Drosophila melanogaster: one gene and its partner. Changing the gene in region 1 together with any one later gene gives a genetic interaction. Each region holds a gene or a part of one and is shown in the gene's direction. Other genes may lie near its edges.

Region 1 (3,808 bases):
AAATATAGAGATTTTTTCAAGTACACGGAATCTCTCTTAAATTTTCTCTTTCATTGATCCCAAGTTTTGTATATTATATTAGTTATTCGGCAGTTATGGGTTAGTTTGAAAAGAGACCCCACAGCGACAAGATGGTGAAATTGACTTTATACGGTTTGGACCCCAGTCCCCCAGTTCGCGCTGTTAAGCTTACTTTGGCCGCTCTAAACCTAACCTACGAATATGTAAACGTTGACATTGTGGCTCGTGCCCAACTTTCACCGGAATATCTGGAGAAGAATCCACAGCATACGGTGCCCACCCTGGAGGATGACGGTCACTACATCTGGGATTCGCATGCCATTATTGCCTATTTGGTCTCGAAATATGCCGATTCCGATGCCCTATACCCGAAAGATCCTCTCAAGCGGGCTGTTGTGGATCAGCGGCTGCACTTTGAATCCGGAGTGGTCTTTGCCAATGGCATAAGGAGCATATCGAAGTCAGTGCTCTTCCAGGGACAGACGAAAGTACCCAAGGAGCGATACGATGCCATTATCGAGATCTACGATTTTGTGGAAACTTTTCTCAAGGGACAGGATTACATTGCTGGCAATCAACTGACCATTGCGGATTTCAGTCTCGTTTCATCGGTGGCCTCCCTTGAGGCCTTCGTGGCCTTGGATACGACTAAGTATCCCAGGATCGGTGCTTGGATCAAAAAGCTGGAACAGCTTCCATACTACGAGGAAGCCAATGGCAAGGGCGTCCGCCAGTTGGTGGCCATTTTCAAGAAGACCAATTTCACATTCGAAGCATGATATTATTTTACAGTTTATATAGTCACAATAAATAATTGCTTAGAAAACTCTAGAGCTTTTGAATTTTTGTGGTGAAATAATTGATTTGGACACAAATGAATAGAAGAGGCGAGAGCAAAAACCTAACTGACTTTCTTATCTACTGCTCTCGCTTCTCTTAATTACTCTCTTTCGAAATTCTATAAATATAGTGACTCTTCGCTGTTGACGTTTAGTAATAGACGAGACTCTACCCAGCGACAAGATGCCCAAATTGATACTGTACGGCTTGGAGGCAAGTCCACCAGTTCGTGCCGTCAAATTGACCTTGGCTGCCCTGGAGGTTCCCTACGAATTCGTGGAGGTAAACACTCGGGCCAAGGAAAACTTCTCTGAGGAGTTTCTGAAGAAGAATCCACAGCACACGGTGCCCACGTTGGAGGACGATGGACATTATATCTGGGACTCACATGCCATTATTGCCTATCTGGTGTCCAAATACGGCAAAACGGACAGTCTCTATCCGAAAGATCTCCTCCAGCGTGCTGTCGTGGATCAGCGATTGCATTTCGAGTCCGGAGTGATCTTCGCTAATGCACTGAGAAGCATTACCAAGCCACTTTTCGCCGGTAAGCAAACGATGATTCCCAAGGAGCGTTACGATGCGATTATTGAGGTCTATGACTTCCTGGAGAAATTCCTTGCTGGAAATGACTACGTCGCCGGCAATCAGCTTACGATTGCCGACTTTAGTATCATATCAACTGTGTCCTCGTTGGAGGTCTTCGTAAAGGTGGACACGACCAAATATCCTCGGATAGCTGCATGGTTCAAGAGACTCCAAAAGCTGCCCTACTACGAGGAGGCCAACGGCAATGGTGCTCGTACATTTGAGTCCTTCATCAGAGAGTATAATTTCACTTTCGCATCGAATTAAATCATCTATACATGCTGCTAATATATATTAAACACTTTATAAATAAAATAATCGTACAGTACAAAAAATAAACAAATAGAAAATATACATATAAAAATACTAAAGAGCACCTCGCCAGGTTTTTGTCAACTCTCTTGCGAAAATGTGTCTCTTTAACGTTCTCTTTCCAAATCAAATAAATATGGCGCCTCTTTGGCTTCTACTTTTAGTACTAGGCTCAACCTCTAGACGGCATGTCCAAGCTGATTTTGTACGGGACAGAGGCTAGTCCTCCAGTTCGGGCCGCCAAATTGACCTTGGCCGCCCTTGGCATTCCCTACGAATACGTCAAAATAAACACCCTGGCCAAGGAGACCCTTTCGCCCGAGTTCTTGCGGAAGAATCCCCAGCATACGGTGCCCACTTTAGAGGACGATGGCCATTTCATCTGGGACTCACACGCAATCAGCGCATATCTGGTGTCCAAGTATGGCCAGAGTGATACTCTTTATCCGAAAGATCTCCTCCAACGCGCTGTGGTGGACCAGCGATTGCACTTCGAGTCCGGCGTGGTCTTTGTCAACGGACTGAGAGGCATCACCAAGCCGCTCTTTGCGACCGGTCAGACGACGATTCCCAAGGAGCGTTACGATGCCGTCATAGAGATTTACGACTTTGTAGAGACTTTTCTCACCGGACACGATTTCATTGCCGGTGATCAGTTGACCATCGCGGATTTTAGCCTAATCACATCGATTACCGCACTGGCGGTATTCGTGGTCATCGATACAGTAAAATACGCCAATATAACTGCGTGGATCAAGAGGATTGAGGAACTACCCTATTACGAGGAGGCATGTGGCAAAGGTGCCCGGGATTTGGTGACCCTCCTCAAGAAATTCAATTTTACCTTCTCAACTTAATAATTTATTCTTAGTATATAATTGTAATAATAATGTTTAATAATTGTATAAAACATTATTAAGACTATTCTTCAAATATTGTTATCTTATGATTTTTATTTTATGATAATAGACAGTTTTAAAAATCGCCACCTGATTCGGTTGTAAGAAGACAAATTAAACAGGTCAAGTGGAAGAATTTTCCATCACATTTCAAACAAATATGATAAGACAAACCAAAACACTTAACACCTCATGGAGTGGCTCAGTCGAACTCGTCCATGGAGATTACCTAATCGATCCTACAAGCAAAGATAGCTTTGCTGAAAATGCTGATAATAGATAGGTGTTTTGTCTTCAAGAACACAGAATCCCTCTAAAAATGGCATATTCAAATAAATATTATGCCAATCAGAAGGAACGCTAATTATCTCGAACGACAAGAGTGAGTCAGCATGGAATACGCAAGTAGCGTATATAAATTGAAATAAAATGAGCTGTAAGTTCATCCGATCGATAATTGCGATAGTCGGAGCTGGTTTAGTTTCAAGTCAACAGCCAAGGCGAGCGGACACCTGAAGCGATGGGAAAATTAGTACTGTACGGCGTAGAGGCTAGTCCGCCGGTGCGAGCATGCAAACTGACCCTCGACGCCCTGGGCCTTCAGTATGAGTATAGGCTGGTGAACCTGCTGGCCGGTGAGCACAAGACGAAGGAGTTCAGCCTGAAGAATCCGCAGCACACGGTACCCGTGCTGGAGGACGATGGCAAGTTCATCTGGGAGAGTCACGCCATTTGCGCTTATCTGGTTAGACGCTATGCCAAGAGTGATGACCTGTATCCCAAGGATTACTTCAAACGCGCACTCGTTGATCAGCGCCTGCACTTTGAGTCGGGTGTGTTATTCCAGGGCTGCATCCGGAACATAGCCATTCCGTTGTTCTACAAGAACATAACTGAGGTGCCGCGTTCCCAGATTGATGCCATCTACGAGGCCTATGACTTTCTGGAAGCGTTCATCGGTAATCAGGCTTACCTCTGCGGACCGGTCATAACCATCGCCGACTACAGTGTAGTTTCCTCGGTCTCCAGCCTAGTGGGATTGGCCGCTATCGATGCCAAGCGCTATCCCAAGTTAAACGGCTGGCTAGACAGAATGGCCGCACAGCCCAATTACCAGTCGCTCAATGGCAATGGGGCACAGATGTTGA
Region 2 (7,695 bases), on another chromosome or scaffold:
TTTGGTCGGACCCAAAGTGGATCTAAAGATGGTGGAGGAGGGCCCCATCTGCCGGCTGGATCATGCTTAATACCTTAAAAAATCAATAGGACCTGCGATCAAATTGCATTTTTTTTCACACATGAATGTTCCAAAACATATTTATAAATAAAAGTTCCGCCACAGAAACTGGGTCTATATTGATAAGGGAAATATAACATTTGGCGAACCATTTTTGTATTTTCCCTCCAAACAGCTGTTGTTCAGGGTTGTCAAGTGCAGCCGATTTATGCTATCTGCATTTTAGGTTATTGTTTGAGGGAAGCATATCGGGTTTATAAAATTCGGAAAATTTTTAAAGAAACTGCTTAGAGTGAGAATCCTAAAATATGTGAGAATAATAAAAACATGTTTGACAATCAGTCAATCAGTTGAAACTATTTGACAACTTTGCCACAAAACAACGTCAAACGAGCGAAGAAAACAACAAAGGAGAGACGCAAAAAAGAAGAAAGAAAAAAAAAAATAAACAAATTCGTCATCGTCGCTGGAGTTTGGGCCTTGAAAAATGGCAAGCAATCCGAAGAAGTCCCTCCACCAGGCGATCCAGGCCGAGTTTGGTCTCCAGCCCACCAGCGATTTGTCCAAATTGAGCAGTATAAGTGGCACGAGCCCAGAAGCGATGCCAAAATTCACAATTCCGCAGCTCAAAATTCCACAGCTTAGAATTCCACAATTGCAGCTGCAGACGAATGCGGATGCCGCTGCCGAGCAGGAATACCGCCGAGAGGCGGAGGCACACAATCAAATGCTACTCAATGAGATCCAGTTGAGGCAACGGCAGCGATCGGAGGGCGAAAACAAGCCGCAATCAATGGGATTTGTGTTACCCCAACTGGTCGCGATGCCCAAGGAGCCCCTGAACATACCCCTGCTGACAAGGTTGGAGAGCGGCATGAAGAAGCTGGATATAGGCGATGGGACAAAGGTGAATACAGCCACGTCAGCACCCCCACTCATTGACCTCACGTCCACGATTATCGCCAGGCATAAAGGCGCACCGCCCAAGGAGCTGGCCAGCAAGGCGCGCCAGTTGACCAATTGTGAGCCTTTTGCCATACCCTTCATTGCCTGCGATCGCGGAAGAAGGAGCACGACCGGTGTAACTCTCTTGGCCAGCAAAAGATCCATCAACTACGACGAGGACGTGCTGGCCGATCGGTCACCAGCGAATAGCGACTACCGGGAGCAACCGGGACCCATTGGGCTCATGCTGGACGAAATGGTGGGCTATCCGGAGCCGAGAAAGCCCCGTCTAGTGTACGCCGTCACTCCGCTGGAACGGCAGCACCTGCGAATGTGCCAGTATAAGGATTACGGCATCCAGGTGAAGAGATTCCGCTTTGATACTCCCTCGCCGGATGAGCTCGTCAAGCAGGCGCTGCAGAAGTCCTGGCGCTTCTCCCGCACTTGACTCCAGTTCATCCTGGTAGTTGACAATTACCAATAAGTGAATAAAAACAAAAAATCCACTACGTTCAAAAATAAAAGCTGTCTGACTTGATTCTTGCAGGGAGTTGATATCACCCATCGATTTAGTAACTAATTAGTTGGCCATCCAATCCCATTCTTTTGTGGCGCAAATATATTTGCGAACAAGTATATTTATGATTTTAGTATTAAAATATGTAACAATATTTATGTTGTTTATATGAATTTATCAAAACGATCATTAGAATGTTTTCACGCCTTATTTTATTTTGAGCCGTGGCGTCGAAGCTTATTCGCGTTTCAGCCAACGGTCACACTACACAGTCGGTCACACTATTGTTGGGCAGCAAGTCTGGGCACACTGCAACTTTGCGAATAGCAAAATCGCGAAACGCAAAAAATTATATTACTCCCATAAAGCACAATTCGAACGTAAAGTGAACTACTAACGTATAGAAAATAAACACAAAGAGCATAACATAAGAACAAACAACAAGGAGGCGTTTAAATATTTATCAAAATAAGTTCTCTGTTCTTGTTGTGCCTCTGTGTGTTTGTGTCTGTGCGCTCGTTTAACTGTGTGTGTGCTCCTTGCGTGTCGGTGTGCGGTGCCTGTGCTTTGGTGTGCGTGTGCGTATAGCTGTCACTTTCTGGCGCGCACACAAGATATATACACACAGAAATTTGAAGAAGCGGTGCCCACCACACGGCCCCCTCCCCGTTCCAGACAACCATCAACGCCACCAGCACCACCACCACCACCCCCTCCTGTTGGCGCGGCTCGGCTCGGCTCGGCTGGATGTGTGCGCCCGGTTCCGGTGCCTTTTGGTTACCGTTCCCGTGCATCTGGACCTGGAAGCAGTGTGTGCGTGCGAGTGAGCGGGCACGATAGAAGTTGAAAGAGCAGGCGAAAGGAGCAAGAGCAGGACGACAGAGGAGCTCGAGTTGCCGGTACCGTTACAGGTAATATTTATATGTGCGAGACACTCGGCGCAAGTGTGTGTGTGTTAGGTGGGGGTTGAAGATACGGATACAGATACATGGATACATTCCAAAGCGGCTGTATGTGCACTTTTCGCTGTTTCCCCAATGCACATTTAATTACTTATTTATTTTTGCGTTTAACTCGATCGTACCCCTCTTGCCGGCGACGCTCATGTTTTTTGTTGTTGTTATTTTCGGTAATTTATTGCCCCGCCTTCGATAAGATGGAAAATTCCAAACTGCCCACAGATTAGGCGTGTGTACATACATACAGAAATATACACACATTCTGGTTCTGTTTCTGTTTTCTGTGGCTGCTGTAACTCAACGAAAGCAAAAAAAAAGCGTCTGCAAACGCAGACATTTGACCTTGTTGGAGACAATAACAACAAGAATAGCAATAACAACGGTAGTGAAAATAGCAAGAACAGCAACAACCCACGCAGACGATTGCATTTGCGATTGTCGTTTTGGAAATGGAAAATCTAAATTGAATCTTTCTTTAGAAATCTGAATGTGAATCTAAGGCAAAAGTTAATAGATTACCCATATACACACGCTCGGGCAATTATCACAATAACATCGTCATCAGGGTCGAGCTTTTATCAGATCCAGCCGCTCACGCACACACATGCAAGCCAATTATCAGGTTTTAATTGCCAAAGCACGCACAACTAAACCCATTCCACTATTCCAGATCAGAAGTGCACAAGGGAAGCAGCAGCAGCATTAGGACTGTTCCAGTTCCACTTCCCAGTCCCGTTCCAGTATTCCAGAGAAGGTGATCGAAATAAAACTAAAACTAAAACTCGACCAACGCCAGCAGTGAGAGCAGTATTCAAAAGGCAACGCAGAGTTGGAGGAGGAGGAGCTAGTGGACGCGGAGGACACCAGGAAAGCCCAGGAGAACTCCCCCCCCCTGAGACCCTGAGATGTTGCCATTCACCCCGCAGGTGGTCAAGCGTTTGTTAGCACTCAAAAAGGGCAACGAGGACAACAGCGTCGAGGGCAAGTGGTCAGAGAAGGCCGTCAAGAATCTGGTCAAGAAGATCAAGAAGAATTCGCAGCTGGAGGAGCTAGAGCGCGCGATCTCCACACAGAACTGCCAGACGCGGTGCGTGACGGTGCCGCGCAGCAAGCCAGCTCCCGCCGGCGAGCATCTGCGCAAGGGTCTGCCGCACGTCATCTATTGCCGCCTGTGGCGCTGGCCCGATCTCCAGAGTCAGAATGAACTAAAGCCCCTCGATCATTGCGAGTACGCCTTCCATTTGCGCAAGGAGGAGATCTGCATAAATCCGTACCACTACAAAAAAATTGAACTGTCCATCCTGGTGCCCAAATCGCTGCCCACGCCGCCCGACTCCATTGTGGACTATCCGCTGGACAACCATACGCACCAGATACCCAACAACACCGATTACAATGCGGCGATCATTCGCAGCGCCTCGTTGAGTCCGCCGCAGTACATGGAATTGGGCGGTGCCGGGCCCGTTTCCGTATCATCGTCTGCCAGTTCGACGCCAGCGACTGCCGCCGGTGGTGGTGGTGGTCCCTCCTCGTCGTCGTCGTCGTCATCGTCCGCCGCCTCCGCCTATCAACAGCAACAGCAGCAGCTGTCCTTTGGCCAAAACATGGACTCTCAATCGAGTGTGCTTAGTGTGGGCAGCAGCATTCCCAACACCGGCACCCCGCCGCCCGGCTATATGAGCGAGGATGGTGACCCCATCGATCCTAACGACAACATGAACATGTCGCGTCTAACGCCGCCCGCCGATGCAGCGCCGGTGATGTACCACGAGCCGGCCTTTTGGTGTTCCATCTCCTACTATGAGCTAAATACGCGTGTCGGCGAGACGTTCCATGCCTCGCAGCCCTCGATCACGGTGGATGGCTTTACCGATCCCTCCAATTCGGAGCGCTTTTGCCTCGGACTGCTGTCTAATGTGAATCGCAACGAGGTCGTGGAGCAGACACGTCGCCACATCGGCAAGGGCGTACGGCTTTACTATATTGGCGGTGAGGTATTCGCAGAATGTCTGAGCGATTCGTCCATTTTCGTACAGAGCCCAAATTGTAATCAGCGATATGGCTGGCATCCGGCCACCGTATGCAAGATACCGCCCGGTTGCAACCTAAAGATCTTCAACAACCAGGAGTTTGCCGCCCTGCTGTCGCAGTCCGTGTCGCAGGGATTCGAAGCGGTCTACCAATTGACACGCATGTGCACCATCCGCATGTCGTTCGTCAAGGGCTGGGGCGCCGAATATCGCCGCCAGACGGTGACCTCAACGCCCTGCTGGATCGAACTCCATCTGAACGGGCCGCTCCAGTGGCTGGATCGCGTGCTCACACAGATGGGTTCGCCACGGCTGCCGTGCAGCTCCATGTCATAAGCGCACGGCCGGTTCCGGTTTTCAATCTTCCCCCTCCCCCAATTTTCCGCACAGAAAGCGCCGGAGTTTAAGGCCCATTTTTGGGTTTGAAAGAAGATCCACAGAAATCCCAGTAAACGGCTCTGACAAGTAACACTGACGATGAATGGATACTATCCTCAAGAATTTGCGGTAGTCAATATCGTTTATTATCGATTTTTATTCACATTCGAGAGAAATTTCAATGGTTATTAAGATGAAATTGGTATGCAATCAATGTGCTTTTGTTCGGCTTTGTAGTGATGTAGTTTAAATACCCTCTGTCAGGGTATAAAATTTAATTATGTCACTAGCTCTAGAAAAAGTACATTTCACTTGCCGAAAGCTGTACAAATTGATGTTGAAAAAAACTACTTGAATCCTTGATGTAACAAGAACTTCCGCATCATCCAAAAATACTATATACAGCTCTATTCATGTTGAATATGACCCGAGATTCATCAGTGTTACTAGTCAGCAGCTCCGCGGGATATCAAAATGAGAATCGGAATTGGTTTCAAAGAGAAAACCAAGAAAAATTCTGAGAGCACATATGAAATAAGTTCAGGCAAATTATATACGAGTACATAAATGAGTAATTGAAAAACAAATGGTAGATGCAAACCAGATGCAGATATATCTATATACAAAGAGCACACACTTACATGTGGGATATATATCTTTACAAGCATATATGAGAGAGAACATGTATTTGGCGTTACAAGTTTAGGACTATATATTGTGTAGGTGGAAACGTGGAGAGAGTTACAGTTTTCGATAAGAAGCAACAATTTTTTTAAACATTTTACATACAAAAAAAAAAAAAAAAAAAGAAAACCAAAAGCACATGAGGAAATAACCGAAATGGAACCGACCAGGAACACAAAAAAACCAAAAGATACCCCGAATCTGTGTGCGTAAAGTTGGTAGCGCTAGAAGCGAGAGAGTCAAAATTCTTTGAGAAAGAAGCAAAACAATTAAATTGGTGATTTGGAACAAAAATGAATGAGCAAAACAGGAACTGGGATTTATCAAGCTTGAAGCTTACACACACAGACACACTACCATACATTGCAAATGTACATAAGACCAAAATAATGAAATTATTCACGCAGGACCTCCACTTGATCGAGTATGGGATTATAGATATATCCGTTTGAAGATGGTTGTTAAACGTTTCGATTTTCGCTTAGTACGTGTGTGTTAAAAAATTCGTAAACTCTTAAAGCGCAGTCAGCTCTTGTTAGTCGTAATATCCGTAAAATGCGATCATATATCCTATGTGTAAAGCACTTGCCCAACAAAATTTGAATGCCGCAAGCCAGGTCTGGCCCATCTAAGGTGCCATTTTGTTCAGAACTGCATTTATTGTGTACCAAATGAGAGATTCTTGATTCTTTTACAGCATCGTATTTGAAACGATAGCTTAACCAACCAATATGCAATATGGTTTGCCGTTGCTGGCCGGATTTTGCTTGGCAAGTGCACGTTTTTCTTGGGTCTAGATCTTAAGTCTATATATGTAACAAAATTCGCTAGCTTATCTTAACGTTTAAAGAGCCCAAATCCAGTTTAAGTTCAAGTTCAAATTGTTTTTACGTCAATATTTGCTGATTCTTTTAATTCTTTTGTTTTTTTTTGCCCATTGCTTCGCTGTTACGACCAAAAATAACTGTACCGCCTGGCCAGTGTTGGGCAGTGAATGGTGCGTGGCGGGCAGTGTTGCCTAGCGCACTTGTCCTCTGGTTCCGGCGAAACTTTAATTTAAGTTTTGTCTATTGTTTGCCCCCTTTGTTGCTTTTAAGTTTCTCACGTGTGCAGTTTAGTGCTAAGACACTTAGTCCTGATTGTCAATCAATCGAATAAACGACCGCGAACGAGATTGTGTTTTGTTAATTGGCTCTAATCACTGTTTTTAATCAAACAATTGTTTTCGTATTTCCGGCTAAGCCCGCAAATAATGTAATGTAATCCTTAAGTTATGCCTAAACGAAACAAAGCAATGCAGGCGAACATGCAACAGCAACAGTCAACAGTCCTCCGAGGACACAACCACAGAGAACCAGCAACCCCGTACCCGTAACTTTATAAAGTATAAATACAAATATATACATATATCTAATATGCAAGCATGCAGATAAAGACAAACAGAATCGTATATATAAATAAACACTTATATTGAATGGAAAGCGCAGACCAAGCCCCCTTCCGGGGGGCAGCTTAGGGTGGGGCGAGTCTCGGATTCGCCTGGAATTCGATTCGAATGGACAGGGAAATCGTACCGTATACTAACATAATCAAAGTGCTCTCGAGCTGTCAACGCTCGTGCACCTTGAGGTGTTGCTTATGATTGGATTTGCGCAGAAATCGTGCTGGACAGAGTGGACAGGCAAATGGTCGCTGCTGGGTGTGGGCAATCTGGTGGTGCTTCAGCTCCGAGGCACTAAAGAATCTCTTGCCGCACTCCGGCTGTGGGCATGGGAAGTCGCGCTGATTGTAGTGCCGCTTCAGGTGGATGCTAAGATAGCACTGATCCGTTAGGACCCGGCTGCAAACCGGGCAGGTGAAGCTGAGCGCAGATGTATCCCGTTGCTCTTGCTCCGCCAGCGGATGTTCGGGATCCGGATCCGTTTGTGCCGCATGCCTTAGCTTTGTGTGAATGCGCCGCGCGTGGATGGAATGAAAGGAGAGATGACAGTCGGTGGCCAAACATGGATATGGTTTCTCTCCCGTATGCAAGCGTCGATGGACAGTTAGGTAGTTGGCATACCGGAAACCCTTGCCGCAGATATCACATTTGTGTGGCCGCTCCGCCGTGTGGGTCACTGCA

Evidence for each region.
Region 2: of GstE8 (region 1) and Smox, changing one suppresses a phenotype caused by changing the other (phenotypic suppression), as found in Drosophila melanogaster (one study listed by BioGRID).

What each region holds. Positions count from the first base shown.
Region 1 is NT_033778.4:18,405,911-18,409,718, forward strand, and holds GstE8 (glutathione S transferase E8), read left to right. Parts: upstream 1-1,923; 5' UTR 1,924-1,949; coding exon 1,950-2,618; 3' UTR 2,619-3,045; downstream 3,046-3,808. Other genes in the region: GstE6 (glutathione S transferase E6), read left to right, coding at 132-800; GstE7 (glutathione S transferase E7), read left to right, coding at 1,045-1,716; GstE9 (glutathione S transferase E9), read left to right, coding at 3,181-3,808.
Region 2 is NC_004354.4:8,136,374-8,144,068, reverse strand, and holds Smox (smad on X), read left to right. Parts: upstream 1-1,789; 5' UTR 1,790-2,433; intron 2,434-3,151; 5' UTR 3,152-3,386; coding exon 3,387-4,847; 3' UTR 4,848-7,028; downstream 7,029-7,695. Other genes in the region: alpha-PheRS (Phenylalanyl-tRNA synthetase, alpha-subunit), read left to right, coding at 1-70; CG17982 (uncharacterized protein), read left to right, coding at 548-1,453; CG2120 (uncharacterized protein), read right to left, coding at 7,182-7,695.